Danio rerio: one gene and its partners. The protein of the gene in region 3 interacts with the protein of the main gene of each other region in a pairwise test. Links are inferred from orthologs where the notes say so. Each region holds a gene or a part of one and is shown on either strand. Other genes may lie near its edges.

Region 1 (4,189 bases), on a different chromosome or scaffold from region 3:
ATTCACACTGAGGTCTGTATTTTGTATTTTGTTGTTCATTGTGTAATGGTTAATTGAAAGAGCTCATATACTTGTTAGCAAGTTGTGTTGTTTGAAGGTTAAAATAGCTTTTGTTGCATATTTTAAATGTTTTGACACGGCATGTGCATTTTGCAACCAAAATGTGTTATTTTGACCATGAGTGCCGCTGTTTAGGCCTGTGTTTTAACTGTTTTAAAAATGTGGAGTTTCAGTTGACGGCTGCATGAAAGCAATCCAAGGAAAACTGTAAAATAAATTAAGCAAAATATCTTATTAAAAGACTTAAACTGCACAAAAATCAGTAGTCTAAAAATCCATATATATTTAAATGTATATATATACCCACACGCAAAAATAATAATATTGTAATGAAACTATATTTATAAAAATAAATCGATCATCAATAGACAGAAGTTAAGGAATTAAATTAACCCTATAAAAATGATATTCATCAAATATAAGGCTGCATCCAGTCAGGAAAGATTAAACTGTTCTGATGGGCTCTAGAGAGGCAGAAACAGGCAGCTATTATTCTGCCAGCTTATTTGCATGTATATTGACTTTGCTAACCTGATTCATGCTTTGCACTTTGCACAACTTGTGTAATAGTATATTTTATAATATGCTTCGCATATAGTTAAGCAAACATATAGTTAATGGATGTGACAGAGAAAAAATGTGTCTCATGTCAAACCCGGCTCTTAAACCAACCTCACAAACTATAAAAGAGAGTGCTTCAATATCTTGAGTTAAAAATGGAAAAGACTGTCTGATAAAGAGCTTGAGCTCAGACACAATTGACGGTGGTCTTTTATTGTGCGTCTGGTCAGGGGACAAGGTCATTTAGAGAGATACCAACACCGAAGATTCACACGTTCCTCTGGGAGTTCTCATTGACAATGCCAGCTAAATGTTAACCACATGTAGCCTACTTGCTTTTTAGAGCATTGAATGGTTTGTAAAGAATTTATTATTTGTTCAACATAAAAACGAGGATATAGAAGATCTAGACTCTGAATTATAGGTGATCAGTCAATAGCAGTGCTGCAGGAACATTCATTTATTCCAACAGCTGCATATTAATAAATTCAAGCTTTTCATTTTGGTTCAGAAATAGTCACTCTTCTACTTAGCATTTATTTCTCCTGTGGGACTTGTGGTATAATTGGTATTCTTTTGAGAATGTCTTGTGTGTTCATTTTAGTTTAATTAAAATGTTTAACCCAAAAAATTATATTGTATGACTGACTACTTGTCGAGGTTTAGCAGCAAACAAAAGAGGACCATTTACCTACCATCCTGACTTGAGTAAGATGGCGCTAGATCCTATTTGCTTGTTGTCCCTTAGAGGGCGCCGTAGTGTTAAGTCGCGTGTTAAACTGTCAGCTGACATCCCGGAAGTTATCCAAGTAACAAACATCGCTGCCAGTTTCTGAACATTTCGTGTTTCTTATTAGTTTAATAGCCTTATTTAGGACGCTGTTATGGAGGGTGCACTGGAGCAGCATCTTGACGATACGTATGTTTAAAAAGAAACCACTTTCTTTTCTTACGCATGTAACGTTACTCGTTTTGCGTCTTCATTTACTGATCTCCTTTCTCACTCTAGGATGAAAAATCCAGCTATTGTTGGGGTTTTGTGCACAGACGCTCAAGGACATAATCTAGGGTGTAAGTAATTTTTATATTTTCCTTAATACTTCCCTTAGTATAGTTTTCCTCTGGTGACCATGATTTGCTTGGTTTACATGTACTGGGTTTTCACTTGCAACAAGAGGTTAATATTGCTTTTAATATTTACACATGTGTTGAAGGTATGTAAAACGTTTTGAATTTTTATTAGTTTGATTTGTTTCTCAAAACAGGGAACGGGTGTCTACTGTGGACAACTTTATAACTGTGTTATTGACCAACTTAAAGTTAACTGAAACAATGGTAAACAAAAAAACATGGTTAACTGGGAGAAAATACAAGCCTATTCAAATGTAATTATGCAAAAAAAATGTAAAGTAAAATTAAATGATGTATAGATATAGTTTGAGTAGTAAAATCTATAATGGCATGTGTAGTATTAAAAATATTAATCTGATAAATTAATTCAACTTGAGCATTTTAAGCCTGCTTTTTCAGTGTATTACCATGTGCAAAACAATATACAATTTAAAACTTTTCAACAAAATATAGGGTTATAGAATTGTGCTTTATATAGATTCTCAGTTGACTCTTTTCCATTTGGTTTCCAGAACTTGAAAATATACTGTAATTCTCAATGACATTACAAATATTTTAATCTCCAGGCCGGGGCTCACTATCTGATGAACATGGAGGAGTTGTATCTGTACTGGCCAAGCAGGCTGCTTCTCTAACCAAAGATGCCACCGACTGTCCTACAGTGTGCCTGGAGTCTGACTGTGGGTAAGGAAAGCTTCTTGACCAGCATCTGTCTTATTTCTATGTATCTTGAGAATTTTTTGATTTGAGAGACAACAAAACAATCTGCAGAAATCGATGACATTAATTAAGAAAGTTAAATGAGGGAAAGTCAGTTAAACAACAATCTTTGAAAGTCATTCATCCCATTATACCTTCCCTCTTCCACACACACCAGTTGTCACTAAAGTGTATATATAGTGACGTGTAATAAGTATTGAAACTATCAAATTGGCGTGTGACTTTCTCAGAAAGTATTCCATTCATTTTAATTCATCAAGGATTAATATTTTGTGCTGGTCATTTGGTTGCTTTAGAACTGTCTTGGATCAATATCACTCAAAACCACCAATAGATGGCGGCAAGTCTTAATGAGTGATTCATTGAATCATTGATATTTGTAGTATGGATATAATTATAGAGAGGCATATGATTTCTTATGAGTTTTTGGGGGTTTATTATTTTAAAAAAAGCACTATTATCAAGTAAATGTTTTTAAGTAATGGTTAATTTTTTGCCACTATCATTATGGATATTCAATCAAAAGTAATGAAAGCAATGGAACCATTTCAATATAATGCATGGCATATGTATTACTAATTAATAGATGTAATTCATCTTTTTTTAAAGTTAATGCGGATGGGTTTAAACAAAGTAAATCAATTGATTTTAACATTATAATTCCTGTACACAGTAGTTAATAAAGATTGAACATTTAACTAAACGGTTTTAAAAATGTCTGCACAGCCACAAATTTGTTGGCAATATGCTAAAAGAATGTAACTTGCCATTAAACAAGAACAACGAAAAAATAAAAGGCGCTCTTTTTTTTTTTTTTTTTAGCATTAATTTCTCACCCATGACTTGTGGAATTGCTATTCTTTTGAGAATGTCTTGTGTGTTTATGGTTGGCAGATTCTTAAGTTGACTGAACTTGCCACCAGCTGTGATTTTTAGAAACTGATATACCTGGAGTAAGCACCGTCTGACCTGGGATAGGGAAGAGCAGGGCACAAAGTAACACTTTTTGGTTTTGGCCAAATAATGAACAAAGTAATGGGCTTAGACAAACCATTTTTTGTACCAACAACACACAAACTGTCTCCTACAGTTTCTGTGCAGTATTGCCAAAAGTGCCAGGAGCAAAAATGTTACTATTTGCCCCAGCAGTGGGGCACGTTGTAACAAACAGAGGGTAAGTTGTAACGCATGCTTACAAAGGCAGATTCCACACAGTTAATTTAATTTCTGTTTACTTTAAATAGTAGCTATATTTCCTCAGTACTTGGCTCAATTTATTTTGTGTTATACATAGCACAGCATGTTTATTTACTTATTTATCCACTTAATGAACACATTTGGATTTTTTTTTTGCATTATTATAAAATGCGTTTATTTGCATTATTAGCAATAAAACTAATTTTTTCTATTAAAAAATATATATTTTCTATAAAAAAATCATGTTTATTTAAAAAGTTCTCAACATTACATTATCAAAAATAAAAAATAAAAATATTCAGTTAGTTTAATTGGTGTCCAACAGTGTGTGGCTTAATTGTAACACCCTGTTACAACTAACCCTGCTGTGTCGTGTTTTCTTCAAAACTGACTAGCAGTCACTGTCTTTTTACATCTTTCAAAATGGTTTCATCTTTTAGCCTAGAAGATGGTAATCACAGCAATATAAGATTTTTTCGTACATGCTTTCACAGATGTTTTTTTAAGTAAAACAAATTTG
Region 2 (4,151 bases), on a different chromosome or scaffold from region 3:
GTTGTTGTTTTTATTACTGTTTTATCCTAAAATGTTGATTGTTAAAATGTACAGTTTATTCTGATCAATTATGTTTATAATTGAATTGTATAAATAATATGATATATTGAATAACATGATATATTAAATATATTGTATTTTATTTGAATATTATATGTTTTTTTTTGCTTTACTACTATATATTGTGTGTACTGTTTTTTTATTATACATGTATGTTACTTTATGTAAACTTTTTATTCAATACATTTGTAACATTTGTCATGCCAATAAAGCAATTATTGAAATTAATTTAGAGAAAGGCATAAAATTACAAAATGAATTCAATTAATTTAAAACAAAGTGTTTCAGAATCATTCAGAGGCCCTTGTTTATTTGTAATTTACAGGATAAACAGCATTTAATTTATAAAATAAATAACAAAAAAATGGAATATAATAAAAATTTGCTCATATCTGGTCATTTCTCAGTAAATATGCACAAAATATCCAATGATTTTACACTATTTACAGCCAGCCACACTTGGCTTTAGGGCTGTGCGATTTGGGGAAAATAGCTAATTGCGATTTTTCTGACAGATATTGCTATTGGATTTACGAATAATTTTGTAGTCGAGCTCAATATTCTAAGTTGTGGCAACAATTCTGCAACAGCTCTTAAAAATGACCTGTTTTTGACTTTGAAAACAAAATATTCCCAGTGCTGTTTTTCTTTGGTATTAATTTGTCGATTAATGCTTCTGAAGCAGCCGACACCATCATCCCACTTATCAGCGCTTTCCGGTTTGGTTTCTCTTTTTTATTGTGGCTGTAGTTCGGTTGCAAAATTCTGATTGAGCAGAACAAAAGTGTGCTCACTCAATTGGCTGGTAAGACTGTCACACACAGCCATCAGTCGCTCATGTGCTCTGGGTGGGGGAAATTAAACAATATATACATTTCATATTGCAGCCTCTTGCGAATAACTAATCACAACGTTTTAAATTGGGATACGAGTTTGATTAATCTCACAGCTCTACTTGGCTTCATCAACACTATAGGCGATTTTGAATGATAAAAATATTATAATACACATACTCATAAAAACTTTTTGGTCCATTTAAAAAAAGAAAAAAAAAAACGCACATTATAATATATACACATTTATTTTCTATTTAGTATTAGGCTACAATATTATTTTGTTCCTCCTACTAATAATATACTATTACAATTACTATAATAATTTAATTATGATATTTACACATTCAAATGTTATTAGTTAGAACTTGCAATTATCTAAATGTTATTTATTATATTTGTTTTTTAAATTACTTATTTGAATCTCACAAATGTTCATCTTCATTTAATAATTAGATGGTATACATTTTCTTTTAAAAAATGCTTATAGTAATAATTTGTAATTTATTAATTAAATTTTTATTATTATTATTATTATTAGTTAATTTATTATTTTGTTTGGCTAATATTTTACAATAAAATCTGCATGAATGACCCCTTTCCCCAGTTTGAGAACCTCTGATTTAATCAATGACGTGGCCCCGCCCAAAACTGACAAACATTGGTTGAAGCAGGCAGAAATCCTTTACTGATTGGCTGATAGTAGCCAACAAATCGAAGAATCAGTTTCTTAAAAGATCCTAGTGTGATTTTTCATTACAATTTCGGTGTTCGGTTAGGCATAGAGTACATTTAATGCATGGCAGTCACACACAGAAAAAAATATCTGAACAAGGATAATATCTGAACAATCCCTAACCAGCAAGGGAAAAAAAGCCTTGTGTCGAGGTCACATGATACGGATGCCAAAAATTTGTCTTTGCACTCGCCGCCCCCTCCAATGCTTTACACTGGCCATTCATTCATTTTTTAAGCTAATTCTCCTCTTATTTGGTGTCCAAAATGTCAGCACCTCCCCTTAAAACATGTTCTGGAATATACGATATCATCACTTCATGGATCACATGGACACTTACAACAATGTTTCGTAAAATCAGAGTACCATGCATTTAAAAAAATGTTTAATATAACATTAGACTAACATTTTCAGTGTAATGTTATTTTGTATTTAATGTAAATACTAATGTTTAAACAATCGTGTCTTGTAAAGCCTGTAGTGAGTCCCTCTACTACCCCACGTGTGTTCAGGGCGTCACAAGGTCAAAATCACTCCGCGTCACGACACAGACGGAAATGATGCCTTTCATCTCCATGAGTTCACGTTATAAAGTTCCCTGGATATTCCTTTTGTTTAATCAAAATCAACCATAGTAGATTTTACACCGCTTAAATATTCCAAACATAAAAATATTTAATATTCGTAGGCCTCAATATAGCATAACTTGCAATAGTCAACTGAACACCTATAACCACTATTATACTGTCTTAAATTGCTTATAAAGCAACAGCTAAATTAAACACATGCATTACAGTTGTCAGCATAAGTGCATAACGTTATAATATGCAAAACACCCTGCTTACTATAAAGCCGGCTATTCTAATGGCTGCATCTGTCATCAAGGATAAATGTTAAAAAAAAATTAACTAATTGACAAGTCGTTCGACAAGAAACATGCACGATGCTACTTTATAACTCTGAGAAACAACGTGACAGTGTGTTACATGATTAACTTACATGCTACGATACGTCCCTGCCTGTTTGAGCTCACTGATTTCAATTATCTTTATATCAGCTTGGCATTAAAGAGCATTAAGCAATATATTGTGTTTATAGGCTTTTATGGATGAGGATAATGCTGAGTGACTTACTGCAGAGTGATCTGGAGGTGAATGAAGGGATGCGCGTGTCCGTCAGCGGAGCAGGCTGAATGATATAAGAGGAGCCGCTTTAGAGCCGCTGCAGTTCCACTCGACGCACATGTGTTCTTCATCCGGGTAACCTCCCCCGCAGCCCTGACATCTGCATAACTCAATACTCTCACATTCTATGTATGCGTTATGCTTTTTTTAAAACATACGCTTTCAGCAACTTTTGTCTCAATAATAATTGACGTATTTTGACGACAGTGGGAGAAAATGTGAACAAAATGTATCATTAATATCTATTAAATCGGTGTTATGCTCGTTCCGGGGCTTTAAGTTCGAGAAATTTCGCAGATTCTATTGGAGAAAAATAGACGTCAGAGGTCAAGATTGTGCAACCAGAAATGGTATTGCGTTTTGCAAATTTCGTTGTTTTTTTTGTTAAAGGTCTAATATTATAACCTTTTCTTATAGATTATCTACATATTAAGTCAATATATGTGTATTTATATTATATAATTACAATACTTTATTATTAATAATATTAGTATTATGTAGAAAGCTCAAGATAGCTTTTAAAAATGCATTTGAGTTGAGTTATTTGTCAATTTTATCTTTTAAAAATAAAAATCATCTATATTAAATGTGTTTGAATAACGTGAAATTTTGTACTGAAGCAGCACATGTATTATTCATTTAAATATTGTGCAAGTTATAAATGCTGTAACAATCAGATAAAAATTTCTCCTTTGTTACGAAACAACAAAAAAAGAGTCAAATGTCTTTATGTAAGGTTTGGGAGATCGAGGAATATTCTAGATTGCAGGTCTGGGGTCGGTAGGGATTGTCTTGTGGCGCATGCGCAGTGCCCTTCCAGACATTTCTTCTTCACGTGGATCGCAGGAGTGAAGTGGTCCAGTGTGACGGTCTCTTGCTGCTCTGTCGGACGCGGTTTTCTTAAAGATCAGCTAAAATGGTAAGACGCGTAAGATAATTAATCCAACTACTCCGTCTGAATGAGATGTTACTATGTTGTGTTGAATTGTTTCGCGTGATGTTTTATAACTCCCCATCAACTGCGACTGCAAGGTCACGGTTAGTAATGCAGTCGTGCCCAGATTCAATGTGTAAAAATGATTTGATGCTGAAGTTGTTAGTTAATATGGGCACGTGAAGTGTGGGTGAAAGGTTGGTTTATGTCAATAAGGTTCAGAGCTAACCCGATGTATTTAATGAATAATTTTGCTAACAGCTGGTTTATACACCAGCGTAACATTTTGGTATAACGTTAACGTTAGATGTGTAAATGGGGTTTTAATAGTGTTAATGTTACACGATAAAAAAAATGCACCTGACATTTTGTGTTATAAATACTTAACGTGTTAAGAGTGTTTT
Region 3 (2,934 bases):
CACCGTGTAGCAAAGGCCAAGAAAGCCCACACAAAAGCAGAAGAGCAAATAACTGGTGATTATTATAAAAATGGTTATGATTATTTTAATATGTTTACTTTAATTTGCTGTTTTTCTGTTCAACCGGATCATGTGTTAATGTTTTACTAACAGTTCAGTTTAGTTAATAGTAACTAAACTTTTCCTTACCCAAACCACTGTTTACAGTATTTGACGTTTTTACTCTGAAATATTTCTATAATTTGATACGTTTTGATTCATCAGTCATTACTTGTGTGTTAACAAATAAATACAAATGAATTATATTTCCTAAAATTATATTATAGTTCCTAAAAATTTGGGTCGCGGCCTGATGACCATGTAAAAATGTGGGTCCCATGGCCAAACCAGTTGAGAAACCCTGACATAGATAATATAAACAGACAACTTATAAAATATATGTGAATGATACCAATGAGATATATAACACTGTGTATAGATATTTATAAATATCTTCTCAAATATGTGCCTGCATGGGTGTATTTAAATGTACTTGATAAATATACACAGCGCTCACACACACACAACGTCAAAACGAGCTTAGATTTTTGGATGCGATTAATCTTTGCTCAGCACTAAAATGGACATTAGTAAATTCTGTAACGGCAAAATGTTGCATGAAAATGTGGAGAGTATCTTCTTTAGTTGAAAAAGGCATTTTGTTGTCTAAAAAATGTATTTAATGTATGAAAACATGGCTCCTTGTTATCTTTTGCAAAAACAAATATATTTTCACCAAAAAGTCTCTACTAAACATGTTTCTATGTTCTCTATTAAACTTTTTTTTTTACCAGCAGTATCAGCACAGTAGTTTACAGAATAAAAAGTACATTTCCTATAGCTATTCTAGTCTTAGACCTGCTGAAAATAATATGATTAAAATAAAAGAAATAATTTGTGTTTTACTCCTATTTCATTTGACCATTAAATGCCGTCATTAACTGTGTGGATGTGTTCGGATGATTCAAATATGAACTTAAAGCATCAGGTAGATGTGGACCGCCATCAGCCGACGTCCCTGAACTGAGTCATAACGGAAAAGGTTTACAGATATTCAAATGAACAGACGCACATACCTGTCAATGTCGCTGCTTTCCAGAAGGCTGCAGATCTCCTGTCCAGACTGAGACAGGACACTGGAGACGCTGCTGACCACCTCACTAGCAGGAGCTTTATCATCTACAACAGCAGAAGAGGAGCAAAGCATCAGCTCATCGTGATCTCCACATTTTCCCAGCTGATTAATTACATCAATAATTCAAACAACAACATAAAAGGCATTTAAGTTTTTTTAAAGTGTGATGTTTACATATGCAAATAATACATTATTTCAACATGTGCTAATTTGCATACATTTTTAGTGCACAAATCTGACTATTCAGCAAGTTGAGTAATTTTTTTTTTGTTGAGCCAAAGGTTTTTATAAAGGAGGAATATGGAAATCTTATTGCGCTCTGTAATTCAGAAATTAGCCATGCAGACATTTTTTTAATGGTTTATTTTGTATATACTATAAACAAATATTTAAATATTTCTTATAACAACAGTAACTTTTATATGACGTATAACTGAAGATATACATTTAATAAACTTATTAAATACATTTTGATTACACATTTTGCTGCTCCAAAAAACAACAATAGTAATGCTGACTCACTAAAGTGCAGGTTTCTTTTATTGTTCAAGACGTTGTGGCCCATTATGCTCATCTAACATTAAGTACATGTACATTAGACTCAGGTCTGATATTTTGTACAGAAAATATATTTAGCATTCGCAAGTATTTTTTGATTTTACTCTGAGAAATATTGATTATTCCAACCATCAGTACGCATCCCTTAAATGACGTTTGGATATATGTATTGTAATTGTCGCACTTTATCAATCAGCATCTGTAGATTTCAATGTATTCTCCGTGTTTTTTTACATTAAAATTGACAGGTGCATAAAAAAAATAGGAAACACAGTGTAAGTCCCAGCTTACAGTCTTGCCATTGTTATAAAAAGACATCCAAGGGCATGAACATTGGGCTTGAAGCATGAAGCTAAATAGCACCTCTAGTGCTATTTATTGTAGTTCATTGTATTATGTAAAAAACAAAATTATAATTAAATAAATAATTAAAAATAAATTTACATATACACACACATTCCCCCACTTGAATTTCTTTTTTTTATATTTCCCAAATGACGTTTAACAGAGCAAGGAAATTTTCACAGTATGTCTGATAATATTTTTTCTTCTGGAAAAAGTCTTATTTGTTTTATTTTGGCTAGAATAAAAACAGTTTTTAATTAAAAAAAAAAACATTTTAAGGTCAAAATTATTAGCCCCTTTAAGCTATATATTTTTCAATAGTCCACAGAACAAACCATCGTTATACAATAACTTTCCTAATTCCCCTAACCTGCCTAGTTAACCTAATAAACCTAGTTAAGCCTTTAAATATCACTTCAAGCTGTGTAGAAGTGACTTGAAGAATATCTAGTCAAATATTATTTACTGTCATCATGGCAAAGAGAAAATAAATCAGTCATTAAAGATGAGTTATTAAAACTATTATGTTTAGAAATGTGTTGGAAAAAAAATCTTCTCTCCGTTAAACAGAAATTAGGGGAAAAAACACAGGGGAAACAGGAGATTTTTTTTACATGGTAATACAACAAACTTATGTACAGAGCCACAAACATAAAACATGAATCAACCAGAAAACTAAAAGAAAATGTAAAGTTAGACCTGAATGAATCTTATTGAATGTTCACATTGTTGTAAAGATTTCAGCCATTTTCATAGTCTTATTCTTCGAGTTCTGATTGCAAGTGTGGCTTACTAACTGCCTATAATTAAAGTACTGGCATGATCTTGTTCTACATCTCTAATCCTACCAAACATCT
Region 4 (4,142 bases), on a different chromosome or scaffold from region 3:
ATCTAATTGAAAATGTGTATTAATGTATTGTCTTAATTGCAAATGAATAACCTATAAAATCATTAATATTACAATGAAATGTTTTCCTTGATTCTTCTTAAACCGGTAACACTTAAAATAAGGTTCATTAGTTAATGTGTTTACTAACATGAACTAATCATGAACAACACTTGTACAGCATTTATTAATCATAACTGAACATTTACTAATTAACATTAGTTAATGCACCATGAGTTAAAATGAACTAATAATGAACTACTGTTTTCATTAACTAACGTTAACTAGCATGAACAAATACAGTAGTAAATGTATTGTTCATTGTTTGTTCATGTTAGTAAATGCATTAATTAACATTAACTAATGAACCTTATTGTAAAGTGTGACCCTTAAACCTTAAATGTCTAACTCAAATGTGATGGGAATGCATCAACGTTAAGAGTTCTTACAGTATTATTTATATAATTTTAACTATTAGGAATTAATATATTATTACATTAGTGCAGATAACAATATTGTAAACGTACTTGTGTGCTGTTCGTCCTCCACAAGCTTTCAGCAGATCTGCATCAGACAGCCTTAAATCAGACACAGAAATACACAGATGAGGGAAAACTAAAAAACACCATCTTGAAGTTCCCTTGTTGGACATTTAGTAATAGTAATATTGGCAGCTCATACTTAGTAGTGGTAGACAGGTCGAGTTTCTGGTCCTCGTCTTCAGAAGAGCTGCTGCTGTCGTCTTCTGCATCACTGATTTTCTCTGGCTGTTCTTCTCCTGACAGTAGCGTAGCAGACTAACAGAGGAAACAGATTTTTAAACATTCATTCATTCACACATGCTTCTTGAAAATACAACTGAATTGTATTTTTTTCCATTTATTATTTGTGCTGTTTGTGGTTTTGTACCTTGACAAAACATCCATAGAGCATGGACTTGGCTTGCTGAGCTTTGCGTGGCTTCTTGTTGGAGATCAGTCCATCACTGCTGTCATCTGATTTCTTCACCATCACACCATTCTGACGCATAATAAACAACATCAAATGAGCCCGCATTACAAACTACAACATGCTGCATATTACACAAACCAACTCTATGCCAACATTTTTTTAGTATTCACTTAAAGATCCAGACTGTTTGAGAAAATAAATAAATAAATAAACCATAGACACTTTTTTGGACATTGTAAAATTGCATTCAATCCTCCTCATTCCTTACCTGCCCCGATTCCACTACCAGACCAGACGAGGCTTTGTTAAAAACATGGTCCCACCAGTGGAAACTAAACTGCTCTCCTTGCTTATGGCCCATCTGAAGACAAATGATACATGAATAAAAACAAAATATACATTTAAGGACTTTTGATTAGACCTACAATGCTGTACTTTATCTAAAACAGTTTTTGGAAGTAAATCATGTAGAATTATTATACAGTTTTCATTGTAATAATAATATTGTTGTAGTTCATTTTAAAGTTATGTTTGGTTCTTTGTGGTCAAACCTAGACAAATAATTATATTGAAATAAATGTACTGGAATAAAAAATATAACAATAATTGTACTTGAGTTCATTTAGCATTTTCTTTAATAAAGAAAAAAATCGTAATGAAATCATACATAACAATACCATATAAAAGATATACAGGCTGTGTCCCCTAATTAGAGAGAACAGGGTTTTCTGACATAATTAGTTAATTAGGTTCTGATTTTACATACACAGACTATCAATAATAGCTTTTGCCAAAGTTCAGAAGCAATGTTACGGAATTGAACAAGAATGGTAATCAGAGCTTTAGGCTGAAATCTCTGGCTCAACTTATTAGAAAGATAGTAGAAATGTTTTAAGTGCACTCTTGATGACGTCTTTAAATTTTAAGCACACACAGGTTTTTTTTTTAAACAAATTCTAAAGCTTTTACAAATAAACAAACATTTGTTTTCATGTCTTGGTGAGGATATTTCATAGACTTCCATTTTATTTGTATCAAATTAATGACACCTTCAATGGCACAGGTGTCAAACTCAGTTTCAAAAGGGCCGCAGCTCTGCAGTTTAGTTCCAACCCTAATTAAACACACCTGATCAAACTAATTGAGTCCTTCAGGCTTGTTTGAAACCTACAAGTAAGTGTGTTGGAGCAGGGTTGGAAACTAAACTGTGCAGGGCTTCGGCCCTCCAGGAATTGAGTTTGACACCCCTGTTCTATGGTTTGTGAACCTGCAACAACATAAAACGTCTTGCCCGTGTTGTCAACTACCCACATGTTGCACGCAAAATAGAGATCTTAATAAAAATCGTTTTGTCACTCACCCCTCCTTTATCACATTTAACTTTGACTTTAATCGCCTCTGAAATGCCATTCTCTGCTCTGCCCAGACCTTTACCTACAACACACACACACACACACACAACCATAACACACCAGTGAGGATTGGTCCGTCTATGGCGGACGAAGCGTCATAATCAATCATATCTGCCATGAGTTTGTGATGAATCATGAGCACAACAAATATATCGTGCTTTTACCCTTTTCCCATCCGTGTCGTAGAAGCTGCTCCTCAGCGAACTTTAGTCCTGTACTCTTTTCTTGGACCGTTTCTGCCATGAATTCTTAAACTCTGCACTCGAATATGAAGGTAAAACACATCAGCCAACTGCACATTGACAATATTCGTTAATTCTGAGTATTTTAGCTGTTTACTTCTGTAAATCGTAACAGCTTACTAAAATAAAAAGAAGGGAAAAGACCAACAATCGCTACCACGCGCTCAGCAAGAGAGCAGGCATGACACCGGCAACTACGGGAAGTGACAAGGGTCACTGATGACGATTAACCAAACGCGTTTTGGCATAAAATGGATTAAATAAATTTTGCGTGTGTACGTTCTTTTAAAAACATACACACCATGCATCTTCATTAGATTTTAAATGATTACAACTTATTTAAAATCTAATGAAAATATATGTAGTATAATCACATTGTTTTAATAATTTTAACCTTTTGATGCACAAGCTCCAAAATAGATATAGAAAAAATAACCTTAGACCCGTCAATTTAGACCCATGTGGTGCATCAAAAGGTTAAGAACAGGCGAGAATAAATATTGTATTGTAGAATAAATATACAGAATAAACATTTAATATTTACACATCTTCCACAATATTACGATGAAAGCGCTTTTCACATATATCATGCTATTAATAGACTTTCAGTGGATTTCAAATCCCTTGTAAATAAAATTTATTGTGAACCTCAAAATGGAACAGTCATCCTTCACTGCATAATGTTTAATCATGTTTAATTCAGACTCAAAACATGGTATAAATAGTCATTTTATTATTTGGATTACCAACAACTGTGCGCCATTCTCAAAACTAACATCTGAAGCAAAATAAAAACAACAAAACCACCCTGATATAAAAATACTGTACATGCCATATGTTCACATATTCACAGAATATACAATCAACCTGTCAGAAACCATGGAGGTGAGAATATGCTGGTTAGTGCTCTACAATTTCTCTGCTATCAAACATCTCATTTTGTGCTAAGTGAGAGCCTGTCATTTGTCCAATTACAATACAATAATCAGGGATAAAATGGAGCAGTTTGTGCTACATTTCTTCAATAATTATGTTGGTTTTGTGTTTAGAACGTGACGGATAGCACCTTCATATGATGGATTTATACTTCACATGTTAAAAGGAGGCCAACAGAACCTTTTTTTCCACCATGCTTAAAACACATCTTTGGCAGGTGTCAGTGTAAGAAGAACTGCATAAGTATTTTTTAATGAAGCAGTCAGAAGGCAGGGTTCAGTCCTGCTCTTCATCAGTGGCCGACTGCTGCTCTGCAGCCTCGTCCTCTGAACTGGCCTGAGAAGCTGACGTGTGGAACAGACGCATTAAATCCCGAAATCTCCTTGAAACCTGCACACACAATCATGTTAAAAATGCACTTTTTTTCTGGTTCCCCATTTTTTTAAGAAAAGATTGCTTTTGCTGAACGCCCTTGTACTCATCATTTAGGGCTTGCGCATGTGTTGTTTGCAGTAAAAACTGACGGGAAACCATAGTTGTATAACACTTTTTTACAATAAATCTAATGTAGTGTGGTTTTTCATAATAAACATTTACATCTCTC
Region 5 (3,949 bases), on a different chromosome or scaffold from region 3:
AAATTTCAAAAATCCTCTAAACCAGTGAAGATACAAGGCTTGCATAGCACACTAAAAAGTGTAATATAATACAATATAATATAATGTAATGTAATGTAATGTAATGTAATGTAATATAATATAATATAATATAATATAATATAATATAATATAATATAATATATAAAGAGTTCAGATACAAAAACCTCTAAGTGCCATCTGGAATTTTCTTTTACAATGAACATTTTTCTCAGCCTCTTAGCAATGAAAATAACCTATTCTTTGCCATAAAGGTGAAATTACTGAATCAAGCAGTGGTGGAAAGTGTACTGAAAATCATACTTAAGTAAAACTACCATTACTTGCCTACAAATGTTGTGCAAGTAGAGTAAAAGTATCTGTTGTGAATATTACTCAAAGTATGAGTGAAAAGTAGACCATTCAATTGCACTCAAGACTAGTGAGTATTATGCTGTGAAAAGCCGATGCATTTACATGTAATCTGTGGATGTGTATAAACATAACATTCTGTAGTGCATTTAGTTATTGCACAGCAGGCACACAACGTAAGATGTTAATATTAGGTTACATTTACTTTGTGACGTCAGGTGACCAAAATTCAATGTCTAGTAAGCGTCTAAGGACAACGTTTTTTTGATGTCCAAAAATGAGGTCGAATGATGTTTGGTTAATTTTAGGTTGTGTTGAAAAGTGACCAAAATTCAAAGTTGAGCCAACATCCTAAACCATCATATTGATGTCAAATACTTGTCAAAGACATTTATTCGTCAGGTATGGCAACCAAAATCCAACATCTGATAGACGTCATAGTGGTAACGTCCACACAACGTCAAGCTGTAACATCATTAGAAGTTGATATTTGGTTGATTTTATGTTTGACATTGATGTCAGGCTGACGTTGGGTTCTGATGTCAACCGGATTTTAATTTCCAAATAAAATGCAACATCCCCACGAAGTTTGGGCACAACGTCAATCTGACATCATCTTGACATCTTGTGCCTGCTGGGTGTTCAAGGCCATTTTGGCCAACATACAGTAATCATGCATCATATTTTCATCAGTGACCTGTATCTAAACTTTCTCTGGGTCAATTTTGGACATTTTCTTGGAAACTTTTAATGCTTGCAAACAGTAAATCAACCATGTCTTGAGGTAGTTCATTATGATGTGACTTACCTTCTATGTGGGATTTGATTGGACAGGAATCACAGGACTGATTTTTCTAATCCCCATAGACAAGAAAAAAATACAGTAGTGACTGCAGGTTGAAGGAAAGTAGTAGAGTAAAAGTACCGATACTAAACTAAAATGTAAAGTAAAAGTTCACATTTTTAAAACTACTACCTAAAAATTACAATTCCTGAGAAAAACATCACCGGAATCAAGAAACAGGAGCCTGGTAAAAATGCTAATATTAGAAGAAAATCTCAGATGGCACTTTTGCATCTGCACTCTTCATATATAATAATATATTTATTTAGCAAAAATAGAAATATTTATAGGTAATGCGGTGGCGCAATGGGTAGCACGATCGCCTCACACCAAAAAGGTCACTGGTTTGTGCCTAGGCTGGGTCAGCTGGCGTTTCTGTGTAGAGTTTGCATGTTCTCCTCGTGTTGGCATGGGTATCCTACGGGTGCTCCGGTTTCCTTCATAGTCCAAAAACATACGCTATAGGTAAATTGGGTAAGCTAAATAGTCCATAGTGTATGGGTGTGACTGATTGTGTATGGTTGTTTCAGTGACGGTTTGCAGTTGGAGGGGCATCTGCTACATAAAACATATGCTGGATAAGTTGGCGGTTTATTCCGCTGTGGAGACCCCTGATTCATAAAGGGACTAAGCCGAAAAGAAAATGAAGGATAAATATTTATAAACAAGACTTATCATGCTACCTCTGAATGGAAAAACAGTAGTGGGGAAAACATACCCAGAGAGCATGAGAACCTTGTTTTGATTTGTTGGCTGGAGAATTATGGACAGCTAATGAATAAAATTTATTACTAAAGGCCAACAGAGTATGGGAAAAGAGGCCAAGCGGTGGAATGTCATCAGGAAAAGAGGAACAACATTCAGTGTGTGTGTGTGTATCACAAGAGTTGCCACCCTTTAAGGAAACACAACGATGGGTGGAGGTCTTTAGTAAACCTACAATACTAAATGAGACACTTATGATAACCATTAACAGTAAAAGGCTTGTAAATGTCCTTAGAGATAAACTGGTGACAAAAGGTTGAGGAAAAAATATAATAACCTTTCATTAAAACTGGTTTGGTCTACATCCCGAACAAATAGACAATCTGAGGCAAACTTTTCCTCATTCTTTAAATGTCTGAGGGAAAACAGAGAGGAGTAATGTGAGCACTACAATGGACTTTCCTCCTGTTATACAGAACTATGTTGCTCTTATACACGATAAAATTAAACTATGTAATCGAATTTATTAAAAGAATTAAACTTAAGTTGCAAAAGAAAACTAACAGCTAAAGTACATGAACATTAAAAAATAACTTAGCACGCATATTTAGGTCTTAAATGCAGCCCATTAAGACTTAATAATGACAACACTAGAGAAACTCGTTGTATCTCAAAGGAAACTGCAGAAGGCACAATATAAACAAACAGTGTAGTAAACATGTTCCTTACATTCAACAGATAAACCGAATAAAAGCTTTACGACATGCGTTCAAATGTTCACTTACCAAAGGCGCAGGATTTTTCTGTCGTTTATTCTGTCGTGTGAGCTTTTCGACTTCCAGCTTTGCCAAACAAACGTCCTCCCGGAACAAACGGAAACTTTTCAGTCACTGCAGTTCCGCGCGTCAGACGCTGAACCATAGACTGAACACCGTGCAACAGGTGCGCGTTCACGACGATGCGCGCTGCAGATGTGAGCGATTCCTCATGAGCGAGGTTTTTAACTTATGTGCAATCTAAAAATATACAAAAGACATTCAAACTAAATAATTCACATATTGTGGAATATATCTACACATTATTTTAATACGCAGATGTCTGAATGTTGCTTTACAGTAACCGCTGAATGATATAATTTTCATCTATCCCAGAAAATGTTAAAACTGCAACTTTACTAATATTTAATATACATGGTTTGTAAAGGCCCATGAACATTTCCTTCTTATTATCAAACTATTTCAAAACTGTGGCAAGAGGCGATTCACTCATAACACAGATTTCACAACAATTTTTATTAAAATGTGACTCTTTTCGGATTCTATAGAAATTAAACAAGTAAAACAGGAAATTCGTTGGGACTATTGTTTTTGTTTACATCCCTCAAAATGGCACTTGTAAATTTAATTTAATGTGGACAGAATTACTTACTAAAAACATAGATTAAGAAAGAAAGAAAGAATGAAAGAAAGAAAGAATAACTTCTGGGTGAAATGATGTAATGTTTTAATTACATGGCAATATTCCATGGTAGAAAATGTACACAATAACGTCCGAAAATTTAAAGTAAGAATCTTACAAAACATTTCCGATACAATGAACAAATACAGCTAATTTTAATGTAAAAATGCTTTTAAAAAATCAACATTTCCAGACCAAAATGTAACTAATAGACAATAAAAAGAATTGGCTAAGCTAAATTGTCCATAGTGTATGTGTGTGAATGAGTGCGTATGGATGTTTCCCAGTGATGAGTTGCAACTGGAAGGGCATCCACTGTGTAAAACATATGCTGGATAAGTTGGCGGTTCATTCCGCTGTGGCGACCCCTGATTAATAAAGGGTCTAAGCCAAAAAGAAAATGAATGAATGCATAAATGAATGAATGAATGAATGAATGAATGAATGGAAGAATACCATGAAAATAATTATTGATGGCCACTTATAGGGCTGGGCAATTTGGCCTAAAATCAAAATCCTGTTTAACTAAACATTTTAACTCGATTAAAATTAATGAACAATTATTTTATTTAA

The links. The genes of interacting proteins can lie anywhere in the genome.
Region 1: the proteins of cep70 (region 3) and lamtor5 interact in binary tests that used the Homo sapiens proteins (3 or more experiments, as listed by UniProt). The two-hybrid records come from large-scale screens. The link is inferred for Danio rerio from reciprocal best matches to the Homo sapiens genes CEP70 and LAMTOR5.
Region 2: the proteins of cep70 (region 3) and hspd1 interact in binary tests that used the Homo sapiens proteins (3 or more experiments, as listed by UniProt). The two-hybrid records come from large-scale screens. The link is inferred for Danio rerio from reciprocal best matches to the Homo sapiens genes CEP70 and HSPD1.
Region 4: the proteins of cep70 (region 3) and gpatch4 interact in binary tests that used the Homo sapiens proteins (3 or more experiments, as listed by UniProt). The two-hybrid records come from large-scale screens. The link is inferred for Danio rerio from reciprocal best matches to the Homo sapiens genes CEP70 and GPATCH4.
Region 5: the proteins of cep70 (region 3) and sytl4 interact in binary tests that used the Homo sapiens proteins (3 or more experiments, as listed by UniProt). The two-hybrid records come from large-scale screens. The link is inferred for Danio rerio from reciprocal best matches to the Homo sapiens genes CEP70 and SYTL4.

What each region holds. Positions count from the first base shown.
Region 1 is NC_133183.1:26,634,992-26,639,180, forward strand, and holds the start of lamtor5 (ragulator complex protein LAMTOR5), read left to right. Parts: upstream 1-1,379; 5' UTR 1,380-1,505; coding exon 1,506-1,540; intron 1,541-1,630; coding exon 1,631-1,692; intron 1,693-2,318; coding exon 2,319-2,436; intron 2,437-4,189. UniProt on the Homo sapiens protein: As part of the Ragulator complex it is involved in amino acid sensing and activation of mTORC1, a signaling complex promoting cell growth in response to growth factors, energy levels, and amino acids.
Region 2 is NC_133184.1:33,978,049-33,982,199, forward strand, and holds the start of hspd1 (60 kDa heat shock protein, mitochondrial), read right to left. Parts: upstream 2,811-4,151; 5' UTR 2,763-2,810; intron 1-2,762. Other genes in the region: hspe1 (10 kDa heat shock protein, mitochondrial), read left to right, coding at 3,730-3,732. UniProt on the Homo sapiens protein: Chaperonin implicated in mitochondrial protein import and macromolecular assembly. Together with Hsp10, facilitates the correct folding of imported proteins.
Region 3 is NC_133197.1:12,298,233-12,301,166, forward strand, and holds part of cep70 (centrosomal protein of 70 kDa), read right to left. Parts: intron 1,219-2,934; coding exon 1,116-1,218; intron 1-1,115.
Region 4 is NC_133191.1:32,152,005-32,156,146, reverse strand, and holds the start of gpatch4 (G patch domain-containing protein 4), read right to left. Parts: upstream 2,811-4,142; 5' UTR 2,604-2,810; coding exon 2,525-2,603; intron 2,383-2,524; coding exon 2,309-2,382; intron 1,310-2,308; coding exon 1,217-1,309; intron 1,018-1,216; coding exon 907-1,017; intron 795-906; coding exon 679-794; intron 576-678; coding exon 525-575; intron 1-524. Other genes in the region: gon4lb (GON-4-like protein), read right to left, coding at 3,815-3,928.
Region 5 is NC_133189.1:40,023,270-40,027,218, reverse strand, and holds the start of sytl4 (synaptotagmin-like protein 4), read right to left. Parts: upstream 2,811-3,949; 5' UTR 2,704-2,810; intron 2,334-2,703; 5' UTR 2,256-2,333; intron 1,224-2,255; exon of another isoform or gene 1,178-1,223; intron 1-1,177. UniProt on the Homo sapiens protein: Modulates exocytosis of dense-core granules and secretion of hormones in the pancreas and the pituitary. Interacts with vesicles containing negatively charged phospholipids in a Ca(2+)-independent manner.